2 linked regions of the Alligator mississippiensis genome follow. The protein of the gene in region 2 purifies or fractionates together with the protein of the main gene of each other region. This does not show direct contact. Links are inferred from orthologs where the notes say so. Each region holds a gene or a part of one and is shown on either strand. Other genes may lie near its edges.

Region 1 (11,225 bases), on a different chromosome or scaffold from region 2:
TTTTCCGCTTGCGGTTGATGTAGGTGGTGAAATCCTCAGTCACGTAGTTAGAGAAGTAGTCAGCATTCTTCATCTGGGGGCAGTTAGGGGGTGGGGGGGCAGTTAGGAGGGGTGGAGGGGGAAGCTGGGCTCCAATTTGAGGCACAGGTGGGTTTTTCCCCTTGCCAGGGGAGGGAGAGAACCTAGGCATCTGGGCTGCCAGCCCCCCTGCTCTCACCCCCCAGCCCCCACTCCCCTGCTGGAGAACCCACGTGTCTGGGCTGCCCATCCCTGGTTATATAATCCTAACTGGCTTCCCTAGAGCTGGGAAAAAAACCCAGGTGTCCAGATCCACCCTGCTCTAATGCAACAGGCCTCCATTCCCCACCCCCAGCATCAGGATGGAACTCAGGAGTCCAGGCTCCCAACCCCCCCCCTGCTCTCACATCCCAGCCCTACTGCCCCGCCAGAGAACCCAGGAGTCCTGGCTACACACACCCTTTGCTCTCACCCCCAGGTCCTCCCCATCCCTCAGAGAACCCAGGTGTCTGGGCCCTACCACCACTCACCAAGTAGTCCATGCAGTGTTTCCGGACCACCTCATGCATGTCCTGGTCACCATATACCTGGTCGGCTGAAGTGGCGGGGAAGGAGAAGAAGCAAAGGATCATGAGATAGGGCCCAAAGGCATCCCTCCAAGGGAGGGCATTGCTCACTAGAATGCTGACATGGGGCCTGACTGATAGCCCATATACCTGGGTCCTCTCCCTGCTCTGGGCAGGGAAGTAAGAGGGTGGTTGGTGGATGGCAGCTGGGAACCTGGACACCTGGGTTCTCTGGGAGGGGAATGGTGGCTGGTGGGTTGGATCATAGGAACCCAGACACCTGGGTCCTCTTGGCCTGCCTCTGAGCGCACACTCCTCTCTTCCCTGCTGCTAAGTCAGAGAGGAATTTGCTGATGCACCAGCACAGAGTGAGGGAATCTGCTGAGTCAAAGGGGAAGGGATCTGCTGAATCAGAGAAGGTCCAAGATGCACCCAGCTCTGGGGTGAAGCAGGTGAGGAATGGCCAAGCATAACAGGGCACAAGGAGGGTGAGATTCAGCCAGCCCTGGGGCAGGGCAGGTTAGGAACAGCTGAATGTAACAGGGCAAAAGAAAGGAGAGATGCGCCCAGCTCTGGGGAGCTCTGACTAGGGAACAGCTGAGTATAACACTATAATGCAGGGGTGGGCAAAATGCAGCCTGACAGGCCATTCTATCTGGCCCGCGGGGCCCTTAAAAATTTGGAAAATTAATATTTATCTACCCCTGGCTGCCTGTCATGTGGTCCTCGATGGCTTGCTAAAACTCAGTAAGCAGCCCTCTGCCCAAAATAATTGCCCACCCCTGCTATAATGGGAAGGCTGAAATGGACCCAGCTCTGGGCTGGAATGGCTGAGGAACAGTCAAGTATAACAGTATGAAGTGGGGGCTAAGATGCATCCAGCTCTAGGTTATAGCACCTGGAAAACATCTGAGTATAACACTACAGAGAGGGATGACACGCATCTAGCTCTGGGGAGGAACAGATAAGGAACAGCAAAGTGTAATGTCATAGAGGGAGGGCTGAGATGCACCCAGCTCTAGGGTGGAATGGCTGAGTATAACACTGTGAAGGGGAGGCCCAGATGCAGCCAGTTATGAGGTGGGCCAGCTGGGAAACAGCTGAGTATAACACTATAAGGGGAGGGTTGAGATATGTCCAGTTCTGAGGTAGGGCAGGTTAGGAACAGCCAAGTCTAATATGGCACAAAGAGGGAAAGATGCACCTAACTCCGGGTAGAACAACAGAGTGTAACACCACAGAGGGAGGGTGCCTAGCTCTGGGGCAGAGTGGCTGAGTATAATGCAAGAGAGAGAAGGCTGAGATTCACCCAGCTCTGGGGTGGGGCAGGTCAGGGATAACCAGAACAGCAGAACAGTGCACAAAAAAGGCAAGATGCATCCACCTTTAACATGTAAGGCTGGGGAACAACAGAGTATAATACTATGAAGGAAGAGCCCAGATGTGCCTAACTCCTGGGTAGAGCAGGACACAAGGAGGGCAAGATGCAGCCACCCCTGGGGTCAAACACCATAGAGGGAGGGCCAAGATGCACCCAATTCTGGTGTGAAGCAGTTTAGAAATGGCTGCATATAAAAGGACACAAGGAAGGTGATATGTGCCCAGCTCTGGGGTTGGGCAGTTGAGAAATAGCTAAGTATAACACTGCTTGGTTTCTAGCCCCACAACTCTGCCAGGGGGTCGGACAGGGGGAAGCAGATAAGGGCCTGGGGTGCAGATGCAGGGTAGAAGCCACTCACCCACAGCCCGGAAGAGACAGGCCCCATCTTCCTTCATCTGCTTGATAATGAAGCCTTTCTTTTCTCTCAATGCCTTCTCAAACCTGTGCTCCTGCTGGAGGCAAGAAGGGTGGAGTCAGCAACTGGCCAAGCCCCAAGACCTGCCCCCTGGACACCACCCCCACAAGGCTGCCAAGCTCTTCCCTTCTGTGGCTCACACCCCCATATACCCCACCAGGGTCCCAGTGAGAGACTCAAGCACACAGGGAGTCCAGAGTCTGGGGCCCACCTCCCTTTGTCCAGCATCAACACCAATGCAGATACCCAGCATCCAGCACCCCCACCTGCATAGACACTGAACCCAGGGGCTCCTCCCTAACCCTGGCACACGCATGAAACCCTGGTGTCCAGGCACCCCCAGTCTCAGAACCCAGGTGTCCAGCATCAACATTCACACAGAACCCAGGCATGGGGGGCAGCTATACCTCAGCTGCCCCTCCTCCATCTCTGCTCCTCCCAGATCACACAGGGGCTACTTCACCCCAGAGACCCCTCCTTTTTCCTCCAGGTCACACAGGGGCCCCCACTCCTCCCCTCTCCCCCCACCCCAAGATCATACAGGGGCAGGGTCCTCTCACACTGGAGTTGCCCCCTAACCCCAGAGACCGCCCCCCTACCCTCTCCTCCCCTCCCCCACACCACACAGGGGTCCCAGCCAACCCAGAGACCCCCCCCATGCCTCCCCTTCCCCCAGAGACAACCCCCCACCCCAACACAGCCCCTGCAATATCACATGGAGGAATATGGGGTCCCCTCCCCCAGAGTTTCCCTCAATCTCTTCCCTGCCCCAGTCCAAGAACCCTCCATTCCCCCATATTGTACATGGGGTGTTCCCTTCACTGGAAACCCCCCTCCCCCAGATCACAGCTTCTCCCAAATCACATGGGGGCAGGGGACTGTTCTCACCCGAGCCCCCCAAATATCTCCCCTTTCCCCCCACATCACAGCCCTCCCCCAAATCACATAGGGCCTTCCCTACCCCAGAGATCACCCAATCTCTCCCCTCCCCCACCACAGACCCCCTTCCCTGACAGTACACAGGGGGTCCCTTTACTCCAGAGACCCCCCCCCCCAATCTTTCCCCTCACCTGATGCCCCCCTCCCACAGATCACAGCCCCACTCATCATATGGGGAAGTGGGTGCCCCCCCAATCTCTCCCCTTTCCACACATCACAACCTCCATTTCTCTCCTCCCACACCCCAAATCATACAGGCGAACCCCCTCACACCAGAGACCCCCCCCATCTCTCCCCTCCCCAGACCCCCGCACATCTCCCTTCCCCACAGGGGTTCACCTCCCTCCACACCCCCACAGACCCCCCTACCCACCTGCTCAGCCGCAGCTGGATCCCCGCTGTCCCCTGGGGGGCCGCCCCCGGCCCCCCCCCCGCCGCGGGGAGGGTCGTACTCGTCCTCACTGTTGTAGCCGCCGCCTGCCTCATCCCCATCGCCGGCCCCCAGCCCTAGCCCTAACCCTAGCCCCAGGCCCAGGCCCAGCCCTGCTGGCCCAGATCCCCCCCCGGAGGCGCCGCCGGGCCCGTAAGCCAAGCCCAAGCCCCCCCGCCGCCGCCTCTTACTGTGGCCGGGCCCCGCGCAGCATCCGCCCCCCACGCCTCCGCCGCCCGCCCGGGGGTCATCCAGACCCAACCCGGCCTTGGCCTCGGGGGCGCCGGTGGTGGGGGGAGGGGACGGTGCCCCCCAGCAGCGGGGCGGGGGAGGGGCTGGGGGGGGAGGGGAGGCCCCGCCCCCTGCCGAGCCCACGCGGGGGTCCGGGCTCCCTCCCGGCCGGGGGTCACTGCCCCCCCCCACCCCGGAGCTGCCTGCCGCTCCCCCTCCCGCCCCCACGCGGGGGTCCGGGCTGGGGGGCCCCCCAACGCGGGGGTCTCCTGCCCCCCCCACGCGGGAGCCTGGAGGGTCGGCGTCGCCCCCCGGCTTCTTCTTGGGGAGGATCGTCATGGCCCGCCCGCTGCCGCCGCTGGGCTGGGAAGGGGGGTGGGGTGGGGGAGGGGGGGGAGGACCCGGATGTAGGGGGCTAAGGGCTACAGGGGGGCAAGGACCCGGATGGAAAAGCTAAGGGGAGCCGGGAGAAGGGGTTAATGGGGGGGAGACCCGGATGTAGGGGGCTAAGGGGGGATCCCCGGATGCCAGAGGTGAGCGGAGCGGAAGGACCCGGATGTCAGGGGCTAAGGGGAGATCCCCGGATGTCAGGGGGTGACTAGAGAAGGGAAGGACTCAGAGCTCGGGGGCCGAGAGACCCGGATGGAGGGGGCTAAGGGGGGGGTCCCCTGATGTCAGGGGCTAAGGGGGGAGCAGAACCCGGATGTACGAGGCTAAGGGGGCACCCCCCTGGGGGATCCGGCTGAAAGGGCTAAGGAACGCCTCCCTCCCCAAGGAGGGGGAGGGGCGCAGAACTGGATAAGGGGGGGAAGCGCTCCCCGAGACCCCAGTCTCCGTCGTATTCCCCAACCCCCGCGGCGGCCCGGGGGGGGGTGCAAGACAGCAGGGCAATTAGCCTAAAGCAGACCGATAAGGAAGGCAGCAAGCAAGCAAGCAACCAACGCCCCCTCCCCGCAACCCTCCCCCGTTCCTGGGGTCTATGGAAGGTTTTTGGCCCTTCCCGGCTTCCGCGGCGGGCCCTTTGCGCTCGGCCCCGGCCTAGTGTCAACATCAACACAACCGGCCTCTGACCCCGGCGCGTTCACTTCCGCCCCTACGCCCCTTAGCAACGGAACGTCAAAAGGGACGAGACCCCGACGCGCCTGGGTAACAGCGCCACCGCTTATTGGCTACCGGCCCACAGCTCCGCTGTCATTGGTCGATGGGCTTGGAGGAACGCGTTTGGGATTGGGGGGAGAGCGCCACAGTCAGAGCCGTGTCCCTCCCCCTATCCTCTCGTTCCCCCTCCCACTTCCCATGACAACAACCGGGGTCGGCGGGACTTGGGTGACCCTCCTTGACATGCGCTCACTGATTGGTCACGGCGTAAGGTCGCCTATGCTCATTAGCTAAAAGGCCCCGGACATGCATGTGATTGGCTGAGAGGCAGAAGAGCCAAATCTTATTGGCTTGGGAAAAAGGGGGACTAACCTCCGGTTGGCTGGAGGGACGCTTAGGCCCTGATTAGCCAGGGGGAAACAAGCGTAATCACTGATTGGCTTGAATGGGTTTAAGGGAAATTCCGCCTCGCATGTGAGGGAGGGTTGGAAACAAGATGCTCGCAGCTGATTAGCTAGGGAAAGAAACCTGGACGCGATTAACTGAGGGGCAGAACACCGGTTTATGATTCGTTGGACAAGAACATTCTGCGCTCTGATTGGACCAGAGGGCAAGTCCTCATCTGACTGGATGGGAGCAAATTGCCAATCAGACACACAATGCCCGGGCTTCAAGACGAGCGCGCAGGGATGTGGGGTTTGTATTCGCGGGGGTGAGGTGGGGAGCATATTGGCCCCCTGATTGGATCAGACGGCTGTCACTTAGAAGCAGGCCCTGCCCCTTTTCTTCACTTCTTACCCGCTCCAACTCCCCTGCCAGAGAACCCAGGCGTCCCAGGTCCCACCCCCTGCCCTGCAAATAATGACTGAGCTGTGACATGTCACCAGTTCATTTATTTGCTCAAACTACAGCAGCATAAGCCTCATTCCTTGGCAACGGGCAGGGAAGGCACCCCCCCATCCTGACCCCACCCCCAGCTCCAGGCATGGAGGTGTTAATGATCCGTTGCCCCACCCCTCCCTGAGCCAGGCTTTTATGTATCTGTATATAATACCTGTCTCTATATGTATAGAATTTTCTTATTTTTTAAATGTCTAACAGGAAAAAAAAACCGAAGGGGAACCTGAGTTGAACTTACATTGTCAGAGCTGGCGACAGGACCCAAGCATACAGGAGGGAGGCGCCTCCTGTTGGACTCCCCTTCCTGAGCAGGGAAAGAGCCCAGGTCTCCAGGCTTGTAGCGCCCCCGCCCCACTTCCAGAGTGGGCAGAGAGCCCAGGCCTCCAGGTTCCTCTGACTCAAAAAAAAAAACAAAAACAACCCGGGCTTCCGAGTCTAGAAAGGACCCAGGTGTCCAGGCCTCTCTGGCTCCAGGAGGCCCCTCCCTTGGGCCTCCAGCTCCCAGCCAGCCTGAGGACAGATTCCAGACAGGGGTGCAGGTGGGGGCAGAATCTCTGCCCACCCCCAGTGGCCACGGAGGCAGCTGCATTGTGCTATAGAGTATTTTGAGAAGGGGGCAGGGTCCCAGTCCCTCCCCTCCATTGGTGCTGCCCCCTACCCTACCACAGCCAGTCTGGGCTTGACACAGGTGTCTGGGGCCTCAGCCCTCCCACCCTTGCCCCAACTCCTCCCTAAGCCAGGCTAGAACCTAGGCATCTGGGCCCCTAGACCCCCATGCCCCAGGAAACCTGGGGAAGGGAACCCAGGCATTCAGGCCTCTGCCCTCCCCTGCTGTTGCACTAGTAGGGGGAGGGGTCACGGTTTATGGTCTGAGCTCAGCTTCTGGTCTCTGGAGGAGTCATGACCCCTAGGAGAAGGATGACCTGTGAGGTGAGGTGGATATGGGGGGTAGGGGGTGGGGTTCTCCCCCTAGTGCATGCTGGGAAGGAAGCACCCCCCTGGTGGCAACATGGACACATGCACAGTCCTGCTGTGAGCATAGTAGATGGGGGCACCATGATGTGTGCAGGTGTGGGGGGGCCTGAAGAAGGACCCAGGTATCCTGAAGGAGAGTATCCAGGCATTGCAGGTTCCCATAGCTGGTGACAGAACCCAGGCACCAGGCCCCTTCTCCCCCCAGGCTCCCATGGCTTTTGGTTAATGAGTTCCAGGAGTGGCCCATGTCCTTGCGCCTTGGGAAATAGTTCCTCCCTCCCCAGGCTTGCATAGCTGACCCTGATATATGGCTTTGCTTGTGAAGGGGGCTGGTCTAAAGAGTAGCAGGTGAGGCAGAGGGCCATGCCCCTCCCCCTGCCTTTCCTTTCCAGACCCATGGGAACTCAGACATCTGGGTTAAGGTTGCAGCACACACCTCCTGCCTGCCCCACACAAGAAGAACCCAGATGTCTGGGTAAAGCTGCTCCCTGGCTGGGAGGAACCCAGGCATCCAGGAGAGGAAGAACTCAGGCACCCCAAGCTGGAGGGATCCAGGTGTCCGAGGCAAGAAGAACACAGGTGTTTGGTACAGGCTATGCTCCTAAGCAGGTGGGATTCCAGGTATCCAGGACACGAAGAACTGAGGCATTTGGGATACAAGCACAGGCATTTGGTACAGGACATGCCCCTAAGCAGGACGAACCCATGTGTCCAGGGACTCTGGCTTCTGGAACAGGAAGAACTCAAGTGTCCAGGACAGGAGGATCCCAGGTGTCTGGAGAAGACAGGACCGTGGCATCCAGGAAGGCAGAACTAAGGCATCTGGACTGGGTAGAATACAGGCATCTGGGACGGACGGAACCCAGGCATCTGGGACATGAAGAACCAAGACATCTGGGCTAGGCAGAACAGGGTCCAGGCTGGGCAGAATACAGACACCTGGGACGGGCAGAACCTAGGCATCCGGGACCAGCAGAACCCAGGCGGCTGGGATAGATGGAACCCAGGCATCTGGGTTGGGTTGGGTAGGGCCTGGGCATCCAGGATGTGAAGAACCCAGGTGTCCAGGATAGGTGGAATCCAGGCCAATGGAACCCAGGTGTCTTGACGCAAAGAACCCAGGTGTTCAGGGACTCCCCTCAGAGGGAAGAGATGTGCAGGGGAGGGGGCCGGGGTGCCGGGGGGGGGCTCTCATCAGGGGTGTTGGCAGGGGGTGTGGGGATGCTGATGATGGCTGCTGCCAGTGCTGCTGCCTCGTAGCTCAGCTTCAGGGTATCCGGTGCTGGTGTCGCATTCAGGCTGGACCGGCTAGAGGGAGGGGTGGGGGGCATGAACCCAAGCGTCTGGGCTCCCAGCTCCACCCTCCCCCAAAGTTTCAATGGCTGCCCACTGGATGGCAGCAGAACCCAGTGTTTCCCAACACAAAACTGATAGACATAGGCTGCAAACACGCCTGAGCCATGCAGTATATACATGAAGTACATGCCACAGAAGTGCCCGGAACACAGGACACAAAACTGAGAACATGCCAGACCCATGTTGAGCCAGTGCCATGCACACATCAACTGCACACCAAAAACATTTTGGGATCATGGTAAGCATGTGCTGTGAACATGGTACAAACACACGAAATACATAGAGCACATGCAAGAAAATAGGCTGTGCTCACACCTGGAACCAGGAACACTTGAGCATCCCAAGCACATACCAGAAAGTCATCAAGCACATGCAGGGAAAAAAACTAGGCCCCACACTGGAAACATGCCAAGCCCACACCAAGTCCATACTCTAAATATGCCACCTGCTGGTGCAAGTACACCATGAGCATGCCAGGAACATGCCAAACCCACACTGCAAGCATGCTGCACACATGCCATGAACACACCATGAATATGCCAACCACACGCTGGGAACATGCCATGAGCATGCTAGAAACATGCTAACCCCAATGCCAGGTGCACTGAGAGAACACACCAAGCCCATGCCACAAACATGTTGGGAACACACCAGCCATACCATGGCATACCCCAAGAACACACCAAACACACCGCGAATATGCCAAGCACACCCTGTGAATAGTCCAAGCACATGCAGTACCTGTGAGCTGGCCCCTTGAGGCCCTGCAGGGTGCTGAGCTCCTGGGCAATGGCCCGGCTGCCTGATGGGGTGGAACCAAGGCGGAGGGGGCGGTGGCGTGGTCGCCGGGGGCAACAGGATCCACCCGGAGATGGGGCCCCACTCGAGGACAGCGACAGGCTCCTCCCTGACCGTGCCCCTGGCGACACCCCCCGCTCTGCTGCAAACTCATGGTTCTGGGGTGGGGTCAGAAGAAGGGGGCAGGGCAGGGAAAGGAGGGGTATCATTTCTAGGGCAAGCCCTGACCATACTGACCCTCACTCCCACCTAGGACTAGGGTTGCCAACTCTGACCAAAGCTATTCCAGGAGATTTTCCCCCCCCCAACATGATGTCATGTCATTAATTGTACTGTTCAACCCCTTTGCAATATCAGATCTCCCAGACTGCTGTCAATAATCACCAGGAAATTGATGCTGATTCTGCTAGACTCCCAGCCAATCTGGGAGGGTTGGCAACCTTACCTAGGACCTGCTGCTACTGAGCATCCAGGTTGTGAGGGGTGGGGGAGGCCAGAGCAGGCAGGGCCTCCAGGACGAGCCATAGCCCCACAGACCCTGCCCCCAAAAGCTCCCCCACCATGGCAAGCTTACATTGCCCCCCACTAGCCTCCCAGTCCATCACAGTATCCCCACTGGCCTCCCAGTACCTTCCCAGTCCCCACCACTAGACTCCCAGTCCCCACTTTTAACCTTCCAGTGCCCACTTCCTAGCTCACCGTGGTTTTCTCCAGGCAGTGAAGCAGGTGATGGTGCTGCAACTCGAAAGCCGAACAGGTCCGTAGCCCAGGGGCCTGGGGGTGGCCGTCCAGCTCCTGGGGGTGGGGAAGAGGACGGACAGATGGATACCCCCCATAAGGTAGAAGTGGGAGGAGGGACTGGGGTGCTGGTGCAAGGGGTGTGCAAGGGATCCTGTTTTCCTGTGTGAGGCTTGTGCAAGGAGCCCCGTTCCCTATGTGAGGCTGTGCAAAGAACTGTTCCCCGTGCAAAGGGATCCCACAGTCATGTGCAAGCCTCTGTGAGGAGCCCCATTTCCCTCGTGCGAGGCTGTGCAAGGGATCCCCATTCCCCATGCCAGGGCCCCAGTTCCCAATCCAAGAGGTCCCATTCCCTGGGCAAAGTCTGCATAACAGGGTCCCAGCACCATGCAAAGCCATGCACACCTCGAGGTCGTTGCTATGCTTGTACTGCAGGAAGGCTTTGGTCGTCCCGCTCTTGGCCAGCCGGATCCGGGCCAGGCGCACCTTCTGTGGGGGAGGGGGGGTGATGGGCAGAGGCCATGCCCCCAGCCTTCCTCTGTGCACCCCCCATAAGCCCTGCCCCCTCCAATCCTGACTCCACCTCTTCCCCATAGCTCTGTGCTCTCTCTGAATACCAGCCCCTGCCCCCCCCACCCTATAGTCCTGCCCCCTTCCCTTGGCCCCACTACCACCTCCCCATAGCTCAGGGGTAGGCAGCATTTTGCCCACAGGCGAGATCCAGCCTGCCAAGAAGTTTTACCTGACTCACAGCAGATCCCTCAGCCCTGTTCAGCCCAGCCTTTGGTGGGCAACCTGAGCTGTGGTACGAGTGGCCAGTGCCACTACCCCAAGACACCCAACAGAGCTAGGGCAGCACGGCAGCCAGATTCTACTTCCCAGCAGTGGCTCCTTCCAGCTGCTAGTGACACTGCTGCCACCAGACCTGGCCCCACTGCCTGGACATCCCAGCCTATCCACTCTGCATCCACTGCCAGCGGTGCCAGATAGAGGGGGAAGGTGGGATCTCCATGGAGAGCAGCCCAGAACCCCCACAGCCAGGGCACATTCAGCCAGGCACATGGAATGGAGCTGCAGGTAGGGACCAGAGTCCAGGAGCAGAACAGATGGGGCTGGTGCACGCACATCCCTGCGACTAACACCACTTCCATAAGCAGGGGCATTCAGGGAGCAGGTTACAGCTCTGCCCAGGGCCCTGGTCCCATGCTGCCATCACGCCATGGTCCCAGCCTTGGACGAGGGCCACTTAGGCCCCTCCCATCTCTCCCTATCCCAGACGTAGCTCCCTACCCACTGGGGATCCAGGCCGGTTCCCCAAGTAGTCTGGAGTCTTGGTGAGTTGTTACAGGTTGGGGGAGAGGGGATGCTAACCCAGCCCAC
Region 2 (11,294 bases):
AGAGATCCTTTAACTTGGGATTGCTGCGGTTCAGGTTGATCACCAGCGAGTCTTGCTTGACGATGCCCTGGGGAAACAAGCAACAGGGAGTATGACCTCAGCTCTGCAGGGCCTCACACAGTGCCTCCTCCTACACCCTTGTCTCATCCCACCCCCTCTGTCATTGCGCTGCCAGGGTCTCACCTCCTTCTCCTTCTCTTCAGCCTCACGGGTCTTGTAGCGCTTCTGCACCTCCTTGATGATGCGGAAGGCATTCTGGAGATTGAGGGCTGGCACTGTCTGCTCACCTGGTGTTTTCATGTTGGAGGCGCGGTACGTGCTGCAGGAAGGAAGAGGGGTCAGCCCTCACCACAGCCAAGGGCAGCCTGTGGGTCTACAGTGCCTGGTGGCACAATCACGACCCTGCTTTCCCCCACACACTCGGTGCTGGGGACGAACACAGCCGCTTCCCCACCTCTCCCACCTGCAGGGCAGAGGCTTAGGCCATGCAGCTAGGCTGTGCTGGAACCAGGAACTAAACTCCAGCCCAGCTGGGTCTAGGGGCCATTCTCATGACTCAGAGGGAGCCAGCCCAGGACAGGGATGCATGGTGAGCACATAGCTGCAGGTGTGGCACTCACATCTCCTTGACGAAGGTGGCTTCAGGGTTAGGGAAGATGTTGCCCTCGTTGCGGCCTAGTGCGCTGCCTGGGCAGTAGAAGTTGATGCGCAAATAGGTGTAGTCACCCTCTACTGACATACTGATGTTCTGTGCCATGGGAGAGACAGGGATGTTATGTGGGTCAAAAAGAGAATAGCTACCCCAGCCTAGTGCCCACAGGTCCCTCCCCCTGCTCGAACCCTTGAAGGGGGTGTCATGGTAGAGCCCTGCTCTGGTGCTGTACCTTGATGGTGGCAATGTGGAAAGGCGTGGCAATGCCGAACACGGGCATGATGACCGTCTCGTACTTCTTATCGATGTAGATCTTCATCTCCCGGATGTGTGGCTCTTTAGGCATGAGTGATGGGTTCTTGTAGGAGACGTTGGACTTGCGAGCCCTGTGTAGGGTGGGTGCGGGTGTCACACAGTCCCTTGGAACCTCCCAGAGCTCTTGGGGCCCTCCCCCCAAAAAATCATTCCTCCAACCAACCCTGCAGTACTTCAGGCCTTGTACAAACCTTGGCCAGCTCTTCTAAAACTCTTAAACACAAGAAACCAGGACCTGGAAATTTAGAAGCAGCTGAACCCAGCGACTCAGCCACCCCCTCCCCCTTACTGCATGTGCTGAAAGCATTGTTATCATATGCCACAAGTATCATGACTGCCCCCTGCTGCTCACTTCTGAATCTGCTGCTCGCCCTTCTGCTCTGTGAGCCGCCGCCGCGCCTCTTCGTTCAGCTGCGCAGCCAGCTCCTGCTGGTGGGCCCGGCGCTTCTCCTCTGCTGTCAGTTCATTCTGGGGGTGGGAGAATAGAAGCAGTGTGAGGCCCTGCCCCATGTCCAGGCCACCCCAGCTCTAGTACATAGCCCTGGCCTGGTCACCCCAGCCCCAGCCCCAAAATAAGCATGACTACCAGCCCCTGTCCCCCGACCCCCAGGGCCCCAAGGTTGGAACTGCACCCGCGTCCTCTCTGTTAGCAACGCTGCCCGTGAGCTGCGACCCAGTAAGTCTTCGGCCTCGTCCTTCTCCTCCTCTTCCTCGTCCTCATCCTCGTTCTGCAGGATACAAACATGCCGCTCAGAGCGCCGGCCTCCCCCAATGCCCCCCATGGGAGGAATGACACCAAGCAGTGCAAGTGATGGTGGCAGCCTGGGGCCAAGCAGCCTCCTTGCCTCAACCTTAGCCAGATCAGCTCTCCATGCCCCTGCTCTGTTCCTTTCCCACCACCCCGACCCTCAGATTTCATTTCTCTGCAACACTCCAGGCATGCTGCCCCGAAACTGGCCTGCTCACAGCGGCCAAGTCCTCCCTGACATGATCCCAAACCTTTTCCAGGGCCAGCCCTCCTGGCTCCCTGCCTGCCACCTTCCCCCACACCCTGTAACCCTTCAACAACCCTGGCCTCACCTTTAAAAAGATGCCGACATTTTTAACCTTCTTTTTAACAGCTGTGAGGATAGTGGCTGGTCCCTCCTGAGAAAGAGCAGAAAAGGGAAGATCAGTGCAACAAAGTGATGCAGCCTCTACCTCAACACATGCTCTCTCTATCCATCCTATGTTCACACCTCATCCACCAGCACGGTGTCTCCGATGAACAGCGCGTACGTCCGCTCCTCAGGCTTCTTCCCCTCTTTGTTGGTCAAGTCCGAGAAACCCAAGTTGATGCTGAAAACCATCCCTGTGAGACGCATGAGACAGAGTCACTAGATGGGGCTGGGACCACCAGAAAGTAAGACAGGACCCCACCAAGTCAGACAGCACCAGCCCTGGAGCTGCGTGGGCCTAGGACTCACCCTACTTTTGCGTGAAGGCTGGGGGTGGGAGGCGCTGTCCCTGATCCCAACAGGAGAAAAAAAGGGATGCGCAGGGACAGGGGCAGATGGACAGAGCCACCAGTCGCCCAAGGTAGGGGCTGGTCTGTCAAGGGGGCCTCTGCTCCTTCCTTATATACTGAGCTAGTGGCAAGACAAAGTTCAAGGAACCCCATGGCAGAGAGCATGCAAGTGGGGCCAGGGCCTCACAGGGTTTGGGTGAGGCAGGCTGGAAACCAGTAGTAGCAGCACATCCCCATGCAGTAGCAGAAAGAAGAGATTTGGACACAAAGGGGCCGACTTGGGTGCCTGCAACCTGCAGGCTTGAGTGGCACCCCTCCCGCAAAGCTGGGCACTACTTACCCTTCTTAAGCCGATGCTGGTTCTTGCTGTTGATGACAAGGGAGCCCTCGCGGAACTCGATGCCCATGGCAAACCTGGGCAGAGAGAGAGCGGAGCAGCCATGTCACCCATAGCCACCACTCACCCCAGTCCCAAAGCCCCAACACCAGGGCAACCCCCCCCTCTGTGCTCCAGGCTAGAAGGCGTGGCTGCCAGCGCCGTGGCAGGAGCCAGCTCCCTGCCCCAGCAGCCTTGAAGCCTGAGTGGGTGCCTCTAAACCCAGAGGTGGGCAGATACTGGGGGGGGGGGCGGGGGGCCTGAAGCAATCTCTTACCCCAGGTTCTTAGTGATCTTGCTCAGCAGCTCCGGTTTCTGCTTCTTTACCACGTCCATGATAGCCGCGTAGACGTCACATAGTTTCACACCTAGGGTGGCAAATCTGAGTGAGCACCACATGGGTGGTGGGCAGAGCCCTGATGCTCCTACCTCTACACCCCTAGCCCCCAGCCCAGCCAGCCCCATGCTGGGTACCCTCCCCCCAAGCTCACCATGCTGCATCTCCTTAAGCATCTCATCCTGCAATTGCAACAGGAAGGTGTAGTTGTCCTGCATGTCCTGAGGGGGGTCCACCATGAGGGTGCGAACCAGGTTGGAGCAATACGACTTATAGCGGATGCCCATGGCACAGGTAATGGCCCCAAAGTGCATATGGTTCTTATCGCTGTCAGGAAAACAAGGGTAAACAGAATGAATGCGTCAGGGTGGGGAGCAACTGTCAGAAGGTGTCTTTGGCAAGCACCATACAGAAAAGCAGCTGGGCTGGAACTCGGTAAGAGGCAGCAAGAGTAGCACAGACCCAGACAAACCCCACTACCTGGGTTGTAAGTGGGGAGGCCTCTCCCCTACCTCAACCAAAGATGACTGGGGGGCTCTGGGTAGAAGAACACTGGACTCTTTTTGTAGGAAAGAACTGCACCTGTGTGCATGATCGTGCAAATTTTGGGGGGGGAGCACAAGACACCAACCTGACCACACTAAACTTCAGGTTGTAGTTGCCACCACTCTGGATGATGGGAGGGTAGCACATCTCCACCGTGGAGGGATCAGCTCCTGATAAGTACTTTTTCTCTTCGATGGCTTTCTCCACCGACTCGGCCAACTTGCTGTGCCGTACTTTCTGCAGGATGGGGTAAGGTGTACAGAATCAGGGTGGCTACTGGGGCAAGTTGAAGCCTGGGCAACTGTGCAACCTGGCCCCCTCCCCGTCCCCCACCGACCTCGTCAGCATCCACAATCTCCATGACACGCTCCTTGAAGAACTTGTTGAACACCTCAGAGGTGATAGCAGCTGCCTTGCGCATTAGGTTGAGCTCCCCATCCTCCTTCACTGCAATGGTGTAGGCCACGACCGCACTGATGTCCACCTGCACCAGGGCGGGGAAGGCAGGGACGGTCACCAGGCCGTTACCAGTATCCAACCCCCTACCCCAATCTCCCACGTGGCTCAGCTACCCCAGCCCCGCAGACCTTCTCAAAGCCTTCCTTGCTGAGGCAGTCGCTCCAGCTCTTCATGAACTCGCCGGGGAACTTGTCTTTGCTGAAAATGCCGATACGCTTCCCCCCCTTGCTGCCCTTCAGCGCCTCCACCATCTTCTCAAAGTTTCCCTTGTTGCTCTCGTTCTGCCAGGGGGGGGGAAGGGCACATCAGCACCTGGGTACTGGGCCACATGCCCTGTTTTGTACCACGATCAACCCCTATCCTTATCCCTCTAGCACGTAAGAGACGTATCACTCATCAGCGATGCCAGAAGACAGAACAAAAGTACCAAAAAAAATTGCTGATATCTGGAAAAATAGTCTCTCGACAACAGAGCTACCTAAAAAGATCGCGGACTTGGTACCACAGGCTACATAAAGCATCATCTAGGATGACGTAATAGGGGCTCTTTTGAGCAAGGGAGTGAATTAGACGCGAGCTCCCAAGACCCCTTCCAGCCGTCGCTGTCCAGGATCACAACTTCCCCAGGCCGTCCCTATGCTGCAGAGACAGCACCGGGGCCCTTCCCTCCGCCCCCAGCCCCGGCCCAGCACCGCCCCCCTGTCACCTGGGCTAGAGGCACGGGGACCGGCTCCCCGGCGCCCGCGGGGCTCCTCGAGCACCAGCAAACCGAGGGAGCGACCGGTTGGGAACCGCACACACGCGGGGGGGGGGGAGGGGGACGCGCACAGCCTGCCCGGAGACACCCCCGGCCTCGACACCCACCTTCTCGCGCACGAGCAGCGTGAGCGCGGGGATGCTGTCGCCGCCCTTGCTGTTGGCCAGCTGCTTGAGGAACTCCACCTTCTTCTTGCTGGCCATGAACAGGATCTTGTCCTCGCAGAACACCATGATGGTGTCGGTCAGCTCGTAGCCGAACAGCCATGTCTGGGGGGGGGGGGCGGGTGGGGGAGGGGATGGGGGACACACACGGCGGGGTCAGGGCCCAGCTCGCCCGCCCACCCGCCCCGGCGGCCCCCCCTTCCCCTTCCTCTCCCCTCCCCCCGCCCGGGCTGACCTGCAGGGCCGTGGACTTGGCGTAGACAATCTCCTCGTCCACCCCCACGGACACCACGATGCCGTCTACGTCGCCGTACTCCTCCTCGCCCTTCTGCAACACGGGGGGGAGGGTCAGTGCTGCCGCTGCCCCTTGCCGCTGCCCCCCCCGCCCGCTCCCGCCGCCCGGCCCGCACCTGCCACTGCGCGTAGAGGCGGCGCACGCGGCGGTAGTAGGCCTCGCGGTCCAGGCTCAGCGCCATGGAGGCGGCTCCGCGCTCCAGGCTCCGCCGCGGCCCCTAGCCCGGAAGCGATTCCGTCCTGCCCCCCTACCCTGCGGGGGGAAAACGCGCGGCCCGGGACGCGCTTCCGCTTCCGGGGCCATGACCCCACCCCCCCGGCGTGCGCGCGCGCGTGAAGGAGCGGGTGCGTTCAGGCAGCCCCGCCCCTCCCTCTGCGCGCGCCAAGGTTTTCGCGGGGTTTTCGCACTCGTCGCCTCAGGGCGCACGCGCCGGACCGGGCCCCTACCCCACGTGACGCGGCGAGCGCGCCGAGCTGCCTACGCATGCGCGTTTAGCCCCTCCTCACCACGTGACGCGTCCCCTTCCAGCCTCCCCCTCCTCCGCGCAGTTCGTGGCACTAGCTGCTTCTACGCATGCGCCACGCATAAAAAAAAAAGAAAACCCATAGGAGGGGGGGGGGAAAGAGGGTGACCCCATTGGGGATGCATGACCTTTGCTCCACTGCAGTGGCTCCATGCCCCCAGGAGCAGGGCAAGGGGGTTGGGGCAAGTGCCCCCCCAGGACAGAGTGGCTCACGGCAGGGGATGGGGCAATACTGCCAGCTGCATTTTAACTCATTTTATTAGAAAAGAAAAGAATCCAACTACGGGAAGCTCTAATGCGGCCCAGCCCCCCCGCCCCGGCCCCCCGCCCCCGCCGTATCACACAAGACATATTACATATTTATATAAATAGAGCCCGGGAGGGGGGGAAAGGACAGCACCGGGCCCCGCGCCGCTGGGGGTGGGCTGAGGGCCCCGGGGGGAGCGGGCGCGGGGCGAGCCCCTTGGCCCACGCACAGAGGAACAGAGACAGAGGGCGAGAAGGCGGCGGCGGCGGGCGGGCGGGGGCAGCAGCAGGGGGCGGTGGAGATGGGGAGAGGGGGGTGCCGGCGGCCGCTGCTCATGCTGGGGGCAGGCGGGGCAGGCACGGCCAGGGCTGGAGGGGCACGTGCAGCTCGGGCCCTCCTTTGCCTGCACCCGGGGCCGCCCGCGGGGGCTGCAGCACCGTGCACGTGGAGCCGGCCGCAGCGCCCATCAGGGCCTGGGCAGCCCAGGAGTCCCGCTATCCTGTCTGTCCGTCCATCCGGCCCTTGGTCCTCCGCTCAGTCACCCTCCTCGTTGGCCCCGTCGCTGGAGTCCGAGTTGGCCGGCATCATGGGGTCGTCCAGCAGGGAGAAGTCCCGCTCGGAGCTGGCGTAGCCCTGAGACAAGTCGTCCATCTCGTCTTCGTCCTCGTCGTCGTCCTCATCTGGCTGCAGGTGGCCCGGGTGCCCCAGGTGCAGCGGGGGGCCGGGAGCATAGCTACCGTGGCCCAGCCCAGGGTGCAGTAGGGTGGCGGAGGAGGAGGCTGCGGGTGCGGGGAAGGGCGCGTAGGGCAGCGCGGTGCCTGGGGCAGGGCCAGGCTGGAAGTGGCTGTGCAGGGCCAGGGGCCCCATAGCCCCCAGTTGGCCCTGTGCTGCACCCCCCATCAGCGAAACCATCTTGGAGAGGTCCACGCCTGCCCGGCGGCCCCGTGCTTTCTGACCCCCCGCTGCAGCCATGGGGCCTGGCAGGAGGCGGTGCAACATGGAGTCGGGCATGTAGCCCTGCAAGAAAGGAGGGAGGGAGGATGATGGTTAGTGCTAGGACCTTCCTGCCCCAGCCTCCCCTGAGTTCCTAGGGGACCCCCATCCCTGTCCCGAGCTGCAACAACCACGATGCCAGCAAGGCCTGGCCATACCTGTGAAAAGGAGGGAGCCCTTCCCTACTCCACAACTGCCCCTTTCAAGTCACCCCACTGCAGCTGAAACAGAGGTAGGGAGGGCAGGAGGGGGCTTAGGGGTAGGGTGCAGTTGGCCTCTCACCTTCTTGGTGCCTGGGGTGTCGGGCATGAGCCCCCGCTCCAGCCCGGGAAGGCAGCTAGCTTCGGCCATGCCTGGCTTCCGGCACCGGTGCCACTTGTACTGCTTGCGGCGGTCCTCCATGTACTAGGGGCAGAGAGCAGGATGGCGGGTCAGTGGCCTTGCTGTTCTGCTGCCCACAGAGCCCACAGTGCCAGGTGCTGCCCATGTAGAGCAAAACTGCCTCCTCCTGCCCCCATCCACACCCAGGAGAACACAGGTCCTTCCAAGTCTGAGATCTAAGCAGCTTGGACAGCCCGAGAGGCAGCACTCACCCGCCCCAGGCACACAGATGGGGCCGCATGCACAAGCAAAGTGGGGGCACAGTGAGGGTCTGGAGGAGTGGGGGACAGGGTGCCCCACACAGGCCAAATAAGCGCGACACTCACAGCCAGGAAGCGGGGGTCAATGGCGAAGTCAGGGTGCGCCTGCAGCCAGGCCTCGAGGTCAGCACGGCGTGGCGCTGCCTCCCCAACCAGCACCGTCCCGTCTGTCTTGCGAACCACTGGGATCCGCGCCTCCAGGTCGATGTCAGGGCCCCGCAGACTCTCCAGGCACTGTAGCTCCAGCTGGGGCCGAGGGCAAGGGGAAAGAGTCTCCATCAGGAGACAGGGACAGACACCGAATGACCAACTCTTGCCGCCCCTCGGGGCGCTGCAGACCAGTGGCAACAGGGACAGCCCCTGGCAGAGACGTCCCTGCCCCCAGAGCACTCTCCCAGCAGCAACAACCCTTTGCACTCACCTCCACCAACTTCTTGCTGCTCTTCTTGTGGCCTTGTAGATGCTGCGGTGGCCCCTGCCCATGCCCATGTCCATGTCCGTGGCCATGGCCCTGACTGTGGGTGTGTGCATGGGCATGGGCATGGGCATGAGGCTGGGGTGGGGGCTGATGCCGCTCACGCATGGCGCCATTGGGGACAAGCCTGTGCTTCTGGAAGGTCAGCTTGATCCCCTCCTCCTGCGGGCCAGGGGTGGGAGTCAGAGCAGGTTCAATAGGGAACAGAAGCCAAAGCTTGACCCCTACCCCCGCCAACTTCCTCCCATGCCACAGGGCGCCTCAGCTCTTCGCGAAAAGAGTTGAACTCACCCCCCCACGCCAGAGCCAAGCTGCGGGCCCAGCTGGGGGTCGGTATTAGCATGGCGAGTCATCATGGGCACCTCCCTACCCCCTGCCCCACACACGTGTGCACCCCCTGCTCCCCTACTAACATCCTTGATCTGCACTGTGAACTCCTTCTCCTCGGGGCTGTGCCGCAGCCGTGTGTAGGACATGGGTGCCTCGTCAGGGGGGCCGACACGGGGGGCAGGAGGGCCGTAGTCCCCAGGCAGCCGGGCCATGCCCTCTCCTGGTCCCCTGCAGACCTCTGGTCCACGTGGCCCAGAGGGCCACTTCCCGGTCAGCACAGCCTGGCAGATCAAGTCGATGCGGCTAAGGAGAGCCCGGTCCTGGGGGGGGAAGATGGGGATGGTTAATGTAGACATGGCAAATATGCCCCCACCAACAAACCAGATTTATGTGGCCCCAGTTAGAGTAAGTGGGGGTCACCAGTGGACCCACGGCAACTTCCCTGCCGCTGCAGGCAGACATCCAAGGGGATGCAACCTGAGAAAGGGTTCAGCCATGCCAGGACCCCTGACCTTACCTTGGGCCAGTCGTGGGCGCGGTTCCGCTCCTGCAGCAGCAGCTCTGGGGCACTGGGCTGGGGTGAGTCACCCTCGCGGGAGGTGGGCAAGGACAGCAGCGACTCCTCCTCCTCGTACAGCTTCCCTCCACAGGATGGCTCTGTGCCTGGCATGGGGACAGGGACAGGGACAGGGCAGGGGTGAGCAGAGGCAGCAGCCCCACCCTTAGCCCCAGGCAGCTCCCAGGACAGAGAAGGGCAACCTAGGGGGAACACAGAGGAGGGCAAAGCAGCAGCTCCCTCCCCCAATAAGCTATTGCTATTAAAGCTGGGGTTAGGGTGGGGGCACCCCCAGTCTAGCCCCTGCTCAGCGATGTGTTGCTCTTGTCAGAGCTACTCCAAAAGGCAGCAGGACATGGGGGCATGTCTAAAAGGACCCTTGCAGCTCCGACACCCCAGCCCAGCCCGTTCTTACCCCTCACGCATCTGTGATTCAGTTGGTCTGTAACAGGGGTGGCCGGGCACAAGAGGCACGGGCAGCCCACGTGCACGCATGGAGCAGGTGGGGGAAGGGGCAGGAACAAGAGCAGCAGATGGGGAAGGAAGCGGAAAGCAGAGCAGCAAATCAGGCCGGGAAAGGGGGCAGAGGGACACTTGAGGGAAGTGCAGAGCTTGGGGCACGTGCCTGTCAAATGCCTTCTAGGCCCACTGCCTGCCTTCAAACTAGCACAGCTAACCCTTTCTCCCAGAACGCCCGGACCTGCTGCAGGCAGAGCTGTCCCTAGAGGTGTGTGGGACCCAGGGCATATCAGCCTGTGCAGGGCCCGGGGGGGGGTTGTGGGGAGCAGTCGAAGCCAGCAGCACTCGGCGGCAGTGGCACCAACCGCAGGACCCCCCCAAAGTGCAGGGCCCAGGGTGGTCGCCTCCCCCCAGGGGAGACCCTGGCTGCAGGTAAAGCGGGGGGCCCAAGGGCACTGCCCACATCCTGCCCGTGCAAAGCTTAAACACGTGCTCGAGAGACCCTAGGCAGAGGCCGTGCTCCCTGCCACAGAAAGAGGTAAAATTTCCCACCTGCCCCAGTCCATGCCCATCTGAGCAGGGACACACACACACGCACGGACGGACTCCTTCCTGACCCCAATACAGCACTGAGCTGACCCCGAGTGGAGAAGCAAGACCCTCTAGGTAGCACCCTCTGGGTGCGAGCCTCACACCCCAGTGATGGTCCCCACCTTAGGCTGCAGCCAAGACCCAATGCTGCCGAGGAAGGCAAAAAACCCGATACCCGTAACAACAGGATGAGGGGAGGGAGATGGACTCTCCACGGGGCAGCCAGCAAAGCCCAGAAGCCTGGGGAACACCAGACACCGCCACTCTGCCCTGCGCAAGAAAGGCTCCCCCCAACCCCAGCACAGCCTGAATAGGGGCACTCACCCCGCTCATCCTCGCTGTCGTCGGAGCAGGATGAGGAGGAGCCGGACGAGGAGGGCGAGAGCTTGCCCAGGTCGAGCTCTGAATCCGAGTCGTCGGCCGAGTCTGGTTTGGGGGGCACAGAGGGCGGGAGCGGGGCAGGTGGCAGCGTGGCCGGTGGCTCTGGGGCGGGGGGCAGCGGGGCAAGGCCAACCCCAGGGGGCTGCGGCGTGCCAGCATGGCCATGCAGGTAGCTGAGGCGGGCGGCCAGGAAGGAGAAGTCTGGGTCCTGCATGATGGCGGCGTCGGCCTGGCCCAGGCCATGGCGTGCAGCCCCCCGCAGCAGCTCGCCATCGTGGCGGCCGCACTCCCACCAGGCGGGCAGGGCCAAGCCTGGGGGTGGGCACAGCGCCAAGCGCTCCTGCAGCAGCGGGTGGCACAGCACCTGCTCCCGCAGCCGGCGCAGGAGGTCCACGCGGTACAGGGTGCGCGACGCCCGCTCCTCTGAGATTGGTTCGATGAACAGCGTTGGGTCTGGGGACTCTGCGGGGCAGGCGTGTGGTGAGTGTAGGTCCCCACAGACTTGGTGCCCCTGCACCCCCCCCCCCCCCCCACCAATACGAGCACAGCCCTGCAACCCCATGGACCTGCCCCCGCCCCATGATTGTGCCCCCTAGATCTGCTCCCCATCAGAGCTTGGCCCTTGGGCCCCACAGACCTGCCCCGTGCCCCCCAACCCCTCTAATAAAGACCATGTTCTGGGGTACCTAC

What was found.
Region 1: the proteins of SUPT16H (region 2) and OTUD5 purify together in Homo sapiens (affinity purification with mass spectrometry; 3 studies listed by BioGRID, with this or other methods). This does not show direct contact. The link is inferred for Alligator mississippiensis from reciprocal best matches to the Homo sapiens genes SUPT16H and OTUD5.

Annotation. Positions count from the first base shown.
Region 1 is NC_081831.1:28,451,094-28,462,318, forward strand, and holds the start of OTUD5 (OTU domain-containing protein 5), read right to left. Parts: upstream 5,044-11,225; 5' UTR 4,320-5,043; coding exon 3,693-4,319; intron 2,418-3,692; coding exon 2,324-2,417; intron 614-2,323; coding exon 549-613; intron 74-548; coding exon 1-73. Other genes in the region: KCND1 (potassium voltage-gated channel subfamily D member 1), read right to left, coding at 8,093-8,261, 9,051-9,265, 9,807-9,902, 10,251-10,334. UniProt on the Homo sapiens protein: Deubiquitinating enzyme that functions as a negative regulator of the innate immune system. Has peptidase activity towards 'Lys-48'- and 'Lys-63'-linked polyubiquitin chains. Can also cleave 'Lys-11'-linked ubiquitin chains (in vitro).
Region 2 is NC_081830.1:3,855,794-3,867,087, forward strand, and holds the start of SUPT16H (FACT complex subunit SPT16), read right to left. Parts: upstream 5,673-11,294; 5' UTR 5,590-5,672; coding exon 5,524-5,589; intron 5,442-5,523; coding exon 5,349-5,441; intron 5,219-5,348; coding exon 5,057-5,218; intron 4,474-5,056; coding exon 4,321-4,473; intron 4,218-4,320; coding exon 4,071-4,217; intron 3,971-4,070; coding exon 3,819-3,970; intron 3,515-3,818; coding exon 3,342-3,514; intron 3,219-3,341; coding exon 3,128-3,218; intron 2,889-3,127; coding exon 2,815-2,888; intron 2,319-2,814; coding exon 2,206-2,318; intron 2,114-2,205; coding exon 2,048-2,113; intron 1,696-2,047; coding exon 1,600-1,695; intron 1,436-1,599; coding exon 1,320-1,435; intron 1,039-1,319; coding exon 885-1,038; intron 749-884; coding exon 621-748; intron 320-620; coding exon 184-319; intron 68-183; coding exon 1-67. Other genes in the region: CHD8 (chromodomain-helicase-DNA-binding protein 8), read right to left, coding at 6,713-7,195, 7,454-7,576, 7,879-8,058, 8,234-8,449, 8,701-8,937, 9,135-9,280, 9,589-9,615, 10,548-11,066. UniProt on the Homo sapiens protein: Component of the FACT complex, a general chromatin factor that acts to reorganize nucleosomes. The FACT complex is involved in multiple processes that require DNA as a template such as mRNA elongation, DNA replication and DNA repair.